2 linked regions of the Drosophila melanogaster genome follow. The protein of the gene in region 1 interacts with the protein of each later gene in a biochemical or structural test. Each region holds a gene or a part of one and is shown in the gene's direction. Other genes may lie near its edges.

What was found. The genes of interacting proteins can lie anywhere in the genome.
Region 2: of the proteins of ssp2 (region 1) and polo, one has a biochemical effect on the other in vitro, tested with the Drosophila melanogaster proteins (one study listed by BioGRID).

The regions. Positions count from the first base shown.
Region 1 is NT_037436.4:13,962,194-13,969,151, forward strand, and holds the start of ssp2 (short spindle 2), read left to right. Parts: upstream 1-3,009; 5' UTR 3,010-3,152; coding exon 3,153-3,199; intron 3,200-3,330; coding exon 3,331-3,437; exon of another isoform or gene 3,438-4,454; coding exon of another isoform or gene 4,455-6,302; exon of another isoform or gene 6,303-6,453; coding exon 6,454-6,509; intron 6,510-6,567; coding exon 6,568-6,958. Other genes in the region: Meics (meiotic central spindle), read right to left, coding at 580-1,820, 1,926-2,436; Nxf3 (nuclear export factor 3), read left to right, coding at 4,455-6,302.
Region 2 is NT_037436.4:20,307,966-20,314,650, forward strand, and holds polo (polo), read left to right. Parts: upstream 1-1,688; 5' UTR 1,689-2,344; coding exon 2,345-2,443; intron 2,444-3,083; coding exon 3,084-3,308; intron 3,309-3,369; coding exon 3,370-4,152; intron 4,153-4,217; coding exon 4,218-4,646; intron 4,647-4,713; coding exon 4,714-4,908; 3' UTR 4,909-5,501; downstream 5,502-6,685. Other genes in the region: SCCRO4 (squamous cell carcinoma-related oncogene 4), read left to right, coding at 129-382, 444-651, 782-861; alphaSnap (alpha soluble NSF attachment protein), read left to right, coding at 5,828-5,919, 6,643-6,685. UniProt on the Drosophila melanogaster protein: May play a role in regulating both nuclear and cytoplasmic aspects of the mitotic cycle. Regulates localization of the augmin complex during mitosis by ensuring its location on mitotic spindles.

The DNA.
Region 1 (6,958 bases):
TTATCCTTAATTGATTTTAAATTCCGATATGGACCCCACAACTAATTCGAATCGAGAGATAAATGTTTTTAAGGCATGCGGTGTTACTTGTTGGGTCCGTTTTGGTCAAAACTGTTAACTGATAATCAAAAAAAAAAAAAAAAACAAGGAAACATATCGCACCTTTATGTTGGCGGCTTAAAAAGCCCCCATATCTCGGGAGAAACTGTTGCGATTCATCAAAATCAAAAATAAAATCAAAATCAAAATCAAAATCTGTACGTAAGCAAATATTATGTGTAAGCAAGGCATTTATGTTATAGCAAATAGAAATATTCATCAGCTGGCAATCGGAAGGGCGCAGGATTAGTTGGAAACTGTGCAACAGACAAAACTTGCCTTAATGAACGGACAATGAAATTTTAGATTGTTTAAATAACATAACTTACCAATAAACTTACGATTATACCACAACAATGATTTTTGGTAACATCAGATTGTTCAAATTTAATGATTTCCTTACACGAAGTCTGTAGTTATATCTACTTAACACTTATTATAACTAATGGTCTTATGCTGGGGCTACAGGATAATCTTATATTATTTCTTTAGGTTGTGAAGTCGCAAGTGCTTTTTTAAGCTCTTCTGGGAGAAAAATCCCTCTGGACATTGCGGGCATGGGTGGGGTCGAATCTTGTGGCTTGTGATATGCTTATCCAGGGTCTTTTTTAAAGCAAACCTGACGTCGCAGTGCGGGCATTGGTGCAGCGTTTTTGGCTCATCCGGGTTTTTGTGCGTCTTCTCGTGACCCCGTAAGCTCTGCTGAGTGTCATAGGCTTTGGGACACTGAGAACATTTAAATGGCCGATCATTATTGTCCACGTGCCAAAGGGTATGCTTCATCAGTGACTGATTCGCACTGAAACCCTTGCCGCACTGGTCGCACTTGTAGGGCTTTTCGCCTGTATGGATGCGTAGATGACTCTTAAGGTGATGGTTGTGGGAAAAGGCTTGGCCGCACTCCTCACATTTAAATGGCTTTATACCCGAATGGGTTCGCTGATGTTTCATCATGTTCGATTTCTCGAAGAACGACTTGTCGCAGTCGGGGCACTTGAACTGGCGATCCCCGTTGTGGACCCGCAAATGGGTAATCAAATGCTGGTTCTGTACGAATCCCTTGCCGCAGAGCTCACATTTAAAGGGTCGCTCTTCCTTGTGCAGACGGCTATGCAACTTAAGGCCAGAGTTTTTGGCAAAGGTTTGTGGGCAGTCGGGACACTTATAGGGTCGTTCGCCAGTGTGCCTCTGTATATGGGCCCTAAGATTGCCTCTCGTGTAAAAGGTTTTGTCGCACTGTGGACATTTGTGACCCTTTTCCTCGTCGTGGGTGTGCATATGCGACTTCAGAGTCGGACCGTGCGTATAAGCTTTCGGGCAGAGGGGGCATTTAAAAGGACGCTCTCCAGTATGACGGCGTCTATGGGTCGTTAGCTGGGCATTGGTACGAAATCCCCGACCGCAGAAATCGCAGAGGTGCGGCTTTTGTGTATCACCTTGCTCCTTGTGCTTGGCAACGTGCCTTGCCAACGCCTTTTGAGTCGAGTAACTCACTCCACACTCTGTGCACAGAAGCGATTGATTATTGCCGCCAACCGTTTGGCGCCCTCCGCCGCCGGGAATCCAGGGTTCATCTTGGTCTTCAGTCGAGCCCACTGTCCATTGGTCTGAATCCTCCCTTTCGCTATCAGTATTGTTATTATCATTTTCTTCATCAAAGGCATCTTCAAATGTCTCCTGAATGGATACTTCATCTTCCGTTTTAATATCGTTCATTGTTACTAAAAAATAAATTTAAATTTTAGCATATAACGGGCAAGTCTAGAATAGATTTTAGCAGTACAATGGAAGTTCTTGTGAAAGTGGATGACATCGAATAGACCTACTTTCAAAAACTTCTTGCAATGGTTCACTCTCCTGACCATTAGTTGCCTTTCCATCGGTTGGCTCATCGATATCAGTTTTTACATCAGGCCGATTAGCGTCCAATTTGGTTACATTTGTGTCCAATGGATCCTCGCAACCAACTATCTCGAAGGGTATTAATGGGTTCATAGTACCTCTTCTGCAATGGGATCTACTCAGATTTGAGTTTGATTTATCGAGCTGGAGGAGCTGGGAAAAGAACTGAAAACTCTGCTCACACTTGTGACGGAAGTGAAAGGCATTTTGAGCGGCCACCAGGCAGGTAGGACAGATCTTTTGTGGCATTTCATCCCGTTTCACGCGACAGATCTCCGGCAGAATTGAGTTCAACATTTCCCAAATGGGGGGATCAGAGATCTCCTTGGAGAAAAGGTCCACCAGTATGGATGAGTGTTCGGCGCAGGCTCGGCAGTTCTTTCCCATGCTGGCGTCCACTGATCTTTCCATTTTTCCCGATGATCTCCCAACCATAGAGGCCGGAATTTCAAAAGAATCAACAAATGTTGGGCACTTGCTCTCCTGCCAAGTAGTCAATGTGAACGTATTCGCACAGAGTTGTCAGCTGCATCCGATGATTACTCGATAGTCGATAAGGTTTCATATGCCATCTCCATTAACGTCGTGAGGTTAACTGTGACTGGGAACAAATCTGCGGCATTCAAAACAATGGTGTCGATAGGTAGGATTCCAATCATATTTAAATCAAAATGTATGTAAATCTATATTAAAGGCATTAACAATGAAAATAAGAATATTAGAGATAATTTTAATTTTAATAAATAATTTACAAATCAAGTAAAGTTACAAATCAGTCTGTATTATAAAAACGTTTAATTAACATATAATCTTTAACAAGCGTGCATGCAATGATTTAGGTATTAAAGGTTATCATTTTAATATTTATCTTCATATTTAAGTTGAAATTTGCTAACTTTGCCAACAGCTGCAATAATTACTTTCACTTTCGCTTTCACAGTCACAAGATTGACTCATCGGCTTAAAAATACCAGTGACTCGCCACGGAATCGCGGATATCGCTCATCTCTATCAGCTTTGAGCAAAATTAGTATCTTGTATTGGCCAAACAGACAAGCGAGCGAAGGCCTTTTTGTTGTCGTTTCTGGCAATGATTTAGGTCTTCATCAAGTGTTATTAAGCTAGGCATAAAGTTTTACCCATCGCTGGACATGGATATCCTGGACATCGATGAGGCACTAAAGGATGATTCATATATGTGAGTGAAACCACTCCTGTTGTTTTTGTTCCTGTTGTTGTTGCTGCTGCAGCTGCTGCTACTGCTGCTGGCACTTCACAGGCAGAGGCATCGATGCTATAAATACTCATATGCCTGGTACTCCTTGGCAGATTTCTGGCGGATAAGACCCACGACGATGTCTCCAACATATTGCAGCAGTGGAAGACGAACAATCAGCCGCCGTTGCAGCAATTGCACTTGCAGTACAACAACGAGGGTAAGCCTTTTCCACACATACCGATGCACCCGATCACAAACATACACACATGTGCAGCACATCATGCAGTTGCGCTTTCTAAATCAAATTTGGGTTAAACTGGCGGCTACGTTGACAAAGTTCAAGTCGCATGTGGGCAGCATTACTTGGCCAGTAGTTACCGTTGTCTTTCAAAGTGGCCGATTGCCATAATTGGCAACAGCGCCAATGTTATTGTTACGGTAATTAATCAAGTCTCAATACGCACACACACACACGCGTTCCCATTGCAAACAGCTGTGCGTGGTACGGCAATAATATTGAAGGAAAAAAACTGGCTATGCTAATATGGCAAGAATCTCGCATTATACGCAAACATTATTATATAAATCCAATTTACTTCCTGCCCAGCCAGCGAAAGTCAATCAAGCAATACGCAAATAAACTATTTGCGTACAATTAAATAAACAATTACCACCGAACTAAAGACGAGGATCAAAAATCGATTAGGCGATTTAATTTGAGTGAAATATTGTCATGCTGAGCTATTTTTAATGATTTTCCAAAGTGGAATGCCAGAATTCCAAATATTGCTAAAAATATAAGTTAAATAAAACTATTTACAACAAAGTTCATACTTAATAGTCATTCCTGTAAATGTATGCAATGGTTAAACTCAGCATAGATAAATATTTTAAATAGCTTAAATAATATATACAAAATATTCTTTTAAGCGATAACAATAGTAGAAGTGGAAGTAAGAAAATTACGTTAACAAACAACAATTACTTATAATTATATATGAAAGCTTCAGGGCGTTTATCCAGTAAGTTAAAAAATAGCTAAATGCTAACTTAACGGTAAAATATCAAATAGTGTGCTGAACACATCGCTTTTGCGAAGCGTCCTTTGGATCTTTACTAACACTAAAAAAATTGTAAACTCCCGGAGATTGCTAGTAGTGTGCACGGAATTTAATTACTGGGTTTATTTCCTCAAAAGATTTTGTAATTTTACTAGTTTCCTGAAAACTTTGCGATGCAAATATTTGCCACTTTCAAATCCCACGAGCCGGACAGCCGCTTGATCCAAAACTTCAAAAAGCACGTGAATTCGCAGTCGCCACTTGACGATTTGCGAAAAAATCTAAATGAAAAAAGTAAAATTCGAGAATATGTACAAGAGCTGATTGGAAATGAGCAACAAATGGGATCCGTGCTGGACACGATCTCTTCCACCGAAGAGGACCACCGCGTGGCCACTGTGACCGGATGGTCCACGGTGAACATCGCCAACTGCGCCGGCGTTTCCAATTCTTCAATTTTTGTGGCACTGAAGTGGGTGATGATGCCCATTAAGGTGGAGATATTCAACTTCAAGCGAAGTGGACCGGAAGATAATATGGCACGTGGACAATTTCTGTTGGACAACCTGTTAAGCGCAAATCGCCTAAAACGCTTGCAAGAGGAAGTAGCAGTTATTAACACGTGCCAGAAAATCGAGGTGCGTGTCACACCCGGTCTGCCCAAATCGATGATGTGTGCCCAGATAACAGACGAATTTACAACTGCCATTCAGGAGGCCCTTAGATCACGCTATGAGGTGGATTCACGCACCTTAGATCTCTCCAGGTTCCACGCCAGTCCGGAGTTGTCTCTGCACTTTTGTCCGCTGCATATGGTCAAGCTGCTAGAAACAGTGCTAGTTCTTTCAAACCATTTATTTCCCCATGTGACCAGCCTAGTACTGAGCAACAATTATTTGTGTTCCCTGAAAGCGTTTGCGGGAAATTCCCAAAGTTTTGCCAGCCTAGAGCGGTTGGACATAAGCGCAAACAGGATTCAAGATTTGGGAGAACTCAATTACATCAACAAACTGAGTTGCAAGACGATCTTCTTGGCAGGAAACGGTTTGGCCAAGCTAAGCGTGGACGTCATTCGAAAAATGCTACCACAGTTGAAAAATGTTCATGGCTGTGTGCAGTTGGGGGAAAGTACAGAAGCTGTTGATAATATTCCGAAGTCTCAACAACTTCAAGGCGGTGGGACTAATGGTTTAAAGTTTTGCCAGGACTTCATAAGTTCATACTACACTTTCTTTGACGATACCGAAGAGCGTTTCAAACTTAAGAAGTATTACGACGACCAAGCCATGTTCTCGCTTAGCGTGCCGGTACAACTAAATTATGTCTACGGCTACAAGCTGTACAACAGAAACCAGAAGCGCCAGCATTCCTCGTTTGCACAAAACGCCAAGCTGCAAGTGGGTAGAGCTGCGCTACTTCTCGCTTTAAGCCGCTTGCCTTTGATGCATACAGACTTAGAGAATGTCGGGCTAGACATCCAGGTGTTCACTTCGAGTCTACGCATCTTTACGTTGACGGGATACTTTAAGGAGATATCATCGGATACTCTGGAACCACGACGCTTTCAGCGCACATTCGTATTGCAGACTTCCAATAGCCCCGGCTGGTTGATAACCAACGACATGCTGTGCATAACTTCGACTATGCCGGACCCGAAAAAAACCATTAAATTTAAACCAGAAACTAATATGATAAATACCGACCCGTCGGTAGAAAAAATAAATAAACCTGCAGTGACAGTTTTAGACAGAAAGTCTAAAGAGGATGTCCAAATTTCTAGACCCCTATCAGGAAAAGAGCTGAATCCTCTTAATAAGGCAGTGCAGAAAATGAGCCTTTCCCAGGTGGACCATCTTCCCAGTGAGAACTTCAACGATATGCCACCATTAGTAGCCATTGGTCCATTGACTACCGGGCAAAATTGTTTGGACTATGAAATGGAGGATATTTTAGTGGCCGATGAGAATAACTTTGACTTGGACATTGATGATGACATCCTGTTTGGATGCGATGACCTTTAAATATGAACAAAAAAAATTAAACAATTCAAACAAATAGCTTTTAGAAACCTTGCACCTATCGGTTAAGACACCATACATTACTATTCATTACTTTAACGAGTGCAGAACTCAAGGATCTAATTTATTTTTAAACTTTTATATTTTACGAAAGCCTTCAAAAACAATTCGAAAACCTTTACTCGCCCAAAGCGTCGGAATCTGGATTTCGTAAGTACAAATAAGCAATTGCAACTAATTTGTATATTAAAGTATCTTATTTTTTCAGAGCCAAAATGGAGCGGGAAATGACAGCGGTGTTGGAACCGGGTCGGTCGCGGGTGCCCCAGCAATGCTTCAGCTGGAAATTGGCGGTCTTGTCACGACGAATATGCACAAATCCTTCCTGCAAGACACCTCACCGCCGTCTTCCATCTGCTCCTCCATGAACACTGAACGGATGAACAACTCGCTAATCACCTCAGCAGACTTTACGAACTTGAACTTCCTTCAATCCACAATTGGTCTTGAGCAGGATCCAAACCTTACCACTACGCTTACCAACCAGACAACTGATAACATGGGAATCGGCGGCAGCATAGGCGGATATACGCTCAGTGACATGATCCGGGATCGCAAGGCGCTGGAGTCGCTGACCATGTGTGAGGACGATGGGACTC
Region 2 (6,685 bases), 6.3 Mb from region 1:
TGCAATATAAAGATATCGGCAATCTTCTTAAATCGCTCAGGCATACCAAATTCTGGGTATATAAAGAAATTGCTTATTTATTTCTTATTGGCCCTTCGAAATACTTATGTAACAAACTGATTCTTCAGGTCCCGATGGCATGGAAAAATTCTGCGAGGATATCGGCGTGGAGCCCGAGAATATTGTGATGCTGGTGCTGGCCTACAAAATGGGCGCCACCCAGATGGGCTTCTTCAGCCAGCAGGAGTGGCTAAAGGGCCTCACAGAACTCGACTGCGATTCGGCAGCGAAAATGGTTGTGAAATTGGACTATCTGCGCAGCATACTCAACGATCCCAACTCCTTTAAAAGCATCTACAGATACGCCTACGACTTTGCCAAGGTCAGTAATCCATTTGAATAAACAATGAGCTGCGTTTAATAAGGCTCTGCATATTCCGCAGGACTCGGACCAACGGTGTATGGATATACTCACTGCCAAAGCCATGCTTCAACTACTTTTGGGCAAACATTGGCCTCTGTATCCACAGTTCGCACAGTTTCTAGAGCAATCAAAGTACAAGGCGATCAACAAAGATCAGTGGTGTAATATTCTCGAGTTCTCGCGCACCATTAGCATTGATCTATCAAACTACGATATCGACGGAGCTTGTAAGTAACACAAAGGAGCTAACTAAACTAAACTGAACTATGTATTTCGCAACCGTATTAAAAGAAGCTGATAAATAAGTTAAAATAAGAACTTGAAACGGAGCATTTAGTTACCCCCATCTTTTTGCAGGGCCCGTCATGCTGGATGAGTTTGTTGAATGGCTGCGCCTGCAGCGGAGTCAGGTCACCTCCACAACCGGATCTAGCTGAGAAAAGCTGTATCGAGTCGCCTATTTCTAGTTCAACTTTGGGAGCTCAGTGCGGAGAGGAGTTCGCGGAGACTGAGTCGGAGATGGGATGCGATGCGATGGGATGGGAATGCTGATAAGATAGATCGGCGAAAATTTAAGACATAACCGCAGGACACTCACTGACACCCACACCCACACTCAGATCCACGATCAGATCCACCAGCCACTTCTTCGGCCTAAAACACACAAGCACACACTCACCCACACGGAAACACAAGGCATTTTGGAGAGACTGCGTACACTGGCAAAGCAACCAACTATGAAACTAAACTATTGATAATATATTTAATGTAATAATTTATGTATTAACGACGACAACTAAGAACTAAAACCACATTTTTCTACTTATAAGGCCTCTTTCGCAAACAAAAACAAAACATTAAAATCAGAACAGCAACAAGAGCCAAAACGGGGCAGCTTGTAAGGAGTAATCCCAGAGAACGAAACGATGGCAATAACCAAGAGACCCCAAATAGACCTATTCTAGAACATACAATCCTCCAACCCAAGCGACCCCTTCGAGATATCAGCAGGCATAGTCAAAATCTAAACGGAAATCTACACCAATAGTGGGGTATTCGTAGTCGTTATTAAATCAATGTAGAAAAACAAAATCTGGGGATTATTTAATAAAGTTATTAAGTAAACACATTATTTTTTCTATTTACTTGTGTGTGTTTTAGTGTTGTTTTTTTTTTATCAAAATTATTTTTAACCGTTATTTGAAAGTTTAACTGAAAAACATAGAAGGCTTTGAGATAGCTGTTTCTAATAATTTCTTTTTAACACAAATCAGGATCGAAACCTGCAATTACAAGGTGGCAGTATTTTTACTCAGAAAACGTTTGCAGCAATTCAAATTAGAAAAGGGGCTCTACAATATAAAGTTGACCGTTGACTGTTTAGTAAACTCAATTTATGAAACCCTTTTGAAATTTCAAAAATGTAACGTTAGTTTTTGTAGATTTTCAAATAAATAGCGGTTAAACACAGTGTTGCGCAGAGCAATAGGAAAAAATATTGCGCTCAATTCGAACAGAGTAAACGCCAGTAGGTAAATTCAAAAGGGTAACGGCCATAGAATTTGTTGTTCAACACTCAACAAAATACCGCGATACATACCAGAAAGTGTGCGATAGCCAGCGAAACGGGCACACCAATTCAGCTGACGCTTCACGTCCAATTCATTTTGGCATTTAAAAAATCGAACGGTTTCGGCGCGTTCTCCGCTTTGTGCTTGGTTTTCGTGCATTCGATGGGCAAAACCGAGATTTGATCGCCGCTTCTCTTGTCAACCGTGTGGATCTGATCTCCGTTTCCGAGGCACTTTCAGCCGATCGCCGGTGGAATTATAGGCTCAGAACGAGGAGTATCGCCGCAAAACTCCAGGCGAACGCAAACGCAAAAGGGGCAGTCCGTAGTAAAGAAGAAAGGAGAGCAAGATGGCCGCGAAGCCCGAGGATAAGAGCACGGATATTCCGGATCGCCTCGTCGACATCAACCAGCGGAAAACCTACAAGCGCATGCGGTTCTTCGGCAAGGTGAGTCCGGATGCGGATTTGCAGATGCCCGGGATCAGATCAGTCGAAGGGATCACACATTTACCTACACGCACACATGCACGCACCCGCATACACACATATCCATTTCCACATCCCGGTTTTCGTTCCGTTTTCCTTGCTGATGAGCATTCCCTTGTTGTTTTTGTAGCTCTCTCCTTTAAGAGCAGGAGAGAAAAAGAGAGCCTGTGTGTGGGAATCTTGTACGAGCCTGTGTGTGTGTGTTCATGCAGTTGGCTGCTTGTTCAGTTTTTTTTTTTGGCGCGGCTTCTTCGAATTTACATAGACAAGAAAAGGAACTGTTGCAACTTAGTTGAACCAACAATTTCCTCGTTGTGCTATTGGCATATAAATATTTTCTTGGAAGGGGCTCCGCAGATTGGAGCAAAGGTACTAAACATGTGATTGTTAAATATAAATTACTAATTTTATGTTGCCAACCAATATGGATAAAAAGTTTATACAGAATATGTTTGTAAAATAGACATCAATACGTTTATTAAACGCCATTTACTTGAAAATACCTATATGCAAAGTTTTATCATAGATCTGTTTTTAATACAGTATAAGGTTATGTTTTTGTATAATGTTTTTAAATACAAAATTAATATGCTTTATGCAGGGCGGGTTTGCAAAATGTTACGAGATCATCGATGTGGAAACCGACGACGTCTTCGCCGGCAAGATCGTATCCAAGAAGCTGATGATCAAACACAATCAGAAGGAGAAGACCGCCCAGGAGATAACTATTCACCGCAGCCTTAACCATCCGAACATTGTCAAGTTTCACAACTACTTTGAAGATTCGCAGAATATCTACATTGTGCTGGAGCTGTGCAAGAAAAGAGTGAGTTTAATAGAACATCTCTGCAATATGCCACCATGACACTTACCTCTCCGACTTACAGTCCATGATGGAGCTGCACAAACGTAGGAAAAGCATTACGGAGTTCGAATGCCGCTACTACATTTACCAGATAATCCAGGGCGTTAAGTACTTGCACGATAACCGCATTATCCATCGAGATCTGAAGCTGGGCAATCTCTTCCTCAACGATTTGTTGCACGTGAAGATCGGGGATTTCGGGTTGGCCACGCGCATTGAGTATGAGGGCGAGCGAAAAAAGACCTTATGCGGAACGCCCAACTATATAGCCCCGGAGATCCTCACCAAGAAGGGCCACTCCTTCGAGGTGGACATCTGGTCGATTGGCTGCGTCATGTACACACTGCTTGTGGGCCAGCCGCCGTTCGAAACCAAGACTCTGAAGGATACGTACTCGAAAATCAAGAAGTGCGAGTACCGCGTGCCCAGCTACTTAAGGAAACCGGCGGCGGATATGGTCATCGCCATGCTGCAGCCAAATCCGGAGAGCCGCCCGGCAATTGGTCAGCTGCTGAACTTTGAGTTCCTCAAGGGCTCAAAGGTGCCCATGTTCTTGCCCAGCTCTTGTCTGACAATGGCGCCGCGTATCGGCAGCAACGACACCATCGAGGATTCGATGCACCGCAAGCCACTGATGGAGATGAACGGCATCAGGCCCGACGACACTCGTCTGGAGTCGACCTTCCTCAAGGCCAATCTGCACGACGCCATTACCGCGTCAGCGCAGGTGTGCCGCCACAGCGAGGACTATCGCAGCGATATCGAGAGCCTGTACCAGCAGCTCACTAATCTTATCAACGGAAAGGTAAGTACCTTTTGCTCTATATTAGTTAAATAATTTAAGACTCTTATACCTCTTCACTTCTTTAGCCGCGAATTCTGCAAGGCAATCTGGGCGACGAGAACACAGATCCTGCAGCGCAGCCGCTCTTCTGGATATCCAAGTGGGTTGACTACAGCGACAAGTACGGATTTGGTTACCAGCTGTGCGATGAGGGCATCGGCGTGATGTTCAACGACACCACAAAGCTGATCCTGCTGCCGAATCAGATCAACGTACACTTCATCGACAAGGATGGCAAGGAGACGTACATGACCACCACGGATTACTGCAAGTCGCTTGACAAGAAGATGAAGCTGCTGTCGTACTTTAAGCGCTACATGATCGAGCACCTGGTGAAGGCAGGTGCCAACAATGTGAACATTGAGAGCGATCAAATCTCGCGTATGCCCCATTTACACTCCTGGTTCCGTACAACATGTGCCGTAGTTATGCATTTGACCAACGGTTCTGTGCAGGTTTGTATAATTGTACAGCATCGGCATCATGTACATCTGGTCCTAATGAACTATCTATCCTTCTTAGCTAAACTTCTCAGATCACATGAAGCTCATCCTCTGCCCGCGCATGAGTGCTATAACCTATATGGACCAGGAGAAGAACTTCCGCACCTACCGATTTTCGACCATTGTGGAGAACGGCGTGTCTAAAGACTTGTACCAGAAGATCCGATATGCCCAGGAGAAACTTAGGAAAATGCTGGAGAAGATGTTCACATAAGCGTAGCCAGCCCAACTATCATTATAAGGCCGAATGTTAGTTTAACGTAATTCACGAATGCCCTGGCCAACTTCATTTATAGCCCAGAAAGTATCCTCCTCTCCCATCATCTTTTAAAATTGTAGTTCCCGTTCAAATTGATTTGTTCGATGTTTATAGAATTTATTTGTTTTTGCCCCTTCCCCTTCATATCGAAAATACTGCTTAAGTTATATTCATCGTCAGTGTTGGGCCTCCCTCAAAAGTAATTTAATATATCTGTTTAATGGTTTTCGTACACGATCCGATCACTTAATGCATTTTAAAGAGATCAAATTAAATGTTTAAACTAAGCAAACGTGTTTCGAAATGCCTATATTCACCGAGGTGACTGATAACAAAATTTTAATGCTGGATACATTATAAAAGTAATAGTGTAATATTGTGCGTTCGTAGTGCGCTATAGCGCCATTTAAAATAATACATAAGTTACAATACTGCTGCAAAGTGTTTAAGTGTACAAGTATATTCAACTTTGGCCAGAAATATCTGTAGCTATAGGATACAATATGTAAATGCTTTTGAACTAAAAGCGAATATATATAAAATTTAATAAAATATCTGAAAAAAGATTGTTTGCAACGTTTAGGGCAGCTGTTCTTAAAATGCACCTGCCAGACTGTAGGTGACGCATTCAGGCGGCTGAGAATTATTTTGAACGAACAAACGTTACAGCCCTTGCATTTCACAACACTGGCATGAGTTATTTGAGAATGCTGTGAGATGGTAACACTGGCACCACTTCTGCGGTCACACCAAGTCAGCATATTGATTTTATTTTCTCGAAAAAAGATCCCAATACGTACACACACTCGCTGAAAAGCCGAACAAGTCTTAAACTTAGATGCAATTAGTGCCGAGGCGGACATAAATCCTCGACATGGGTGACAACGAACAGAAGGCGCTCCAGCTGATGGCCGAGGCGGAGAAGAAGTTGACCCAGCAGAAGGGCTTTCTGGGATCGCTGTTCGGGTGCGTATCAAATCAAAGAAGTTTCGCAATTTCTGTGGGAGTGGGGAAATGGAGCTGTGTCTGGTCTAGCCTAGCATCTCCACAACCCCACAAGGTACTGAGCCCTATTCCAAATAGCACTTGGATACCAATTCACTATGCTTACTACTTTGTTTTTATGTATATACCCACTCACCATAATACGTATACGCAGTTGTGGACTCTACGCCTCCACCCAGAAAGAGAAGAAAATAGCGCAAAAGTGCGACTTACAGAGATAAGTTTCAGATATGAAGAACAAAAAGTGTGCAAAATGTCGTTAAAAAATATCCGTAGTACACAATATATGTACACTATGCCATTCGTACAGGTTTCGATGAATCATAGTGCACAAAAGTTCAATCGTGTAAAATAAAAAACAAAGAAATTATATATGTAAGCTGAAATACATTTTTTGTTTTACCCATTCGAACTGTAATTCGTACTTGGAAACTTCCTCAGTTCGCTGAAAAACTTAGTTGTTTTTAAAAATCTACATTTTTAAGGTATTTTACAAAAAATTGTATATTTGCACAGCATCCAGAAACAAATCCAAGTTTAAACAATAGGCTTTTCAAAACCACCTTCGTATATGCATATATAAATGATAATATAAAAATATTATCATTAGTAAAAAGTTAATGCTCTTTTCTGATCCCTTGGATTACATTAAGGCTTATTACTTATCGATATCTACTATTCCAGAGGGTCCAACAAGGTGGAGGACGCCATCGAGTGCTACCAGCGG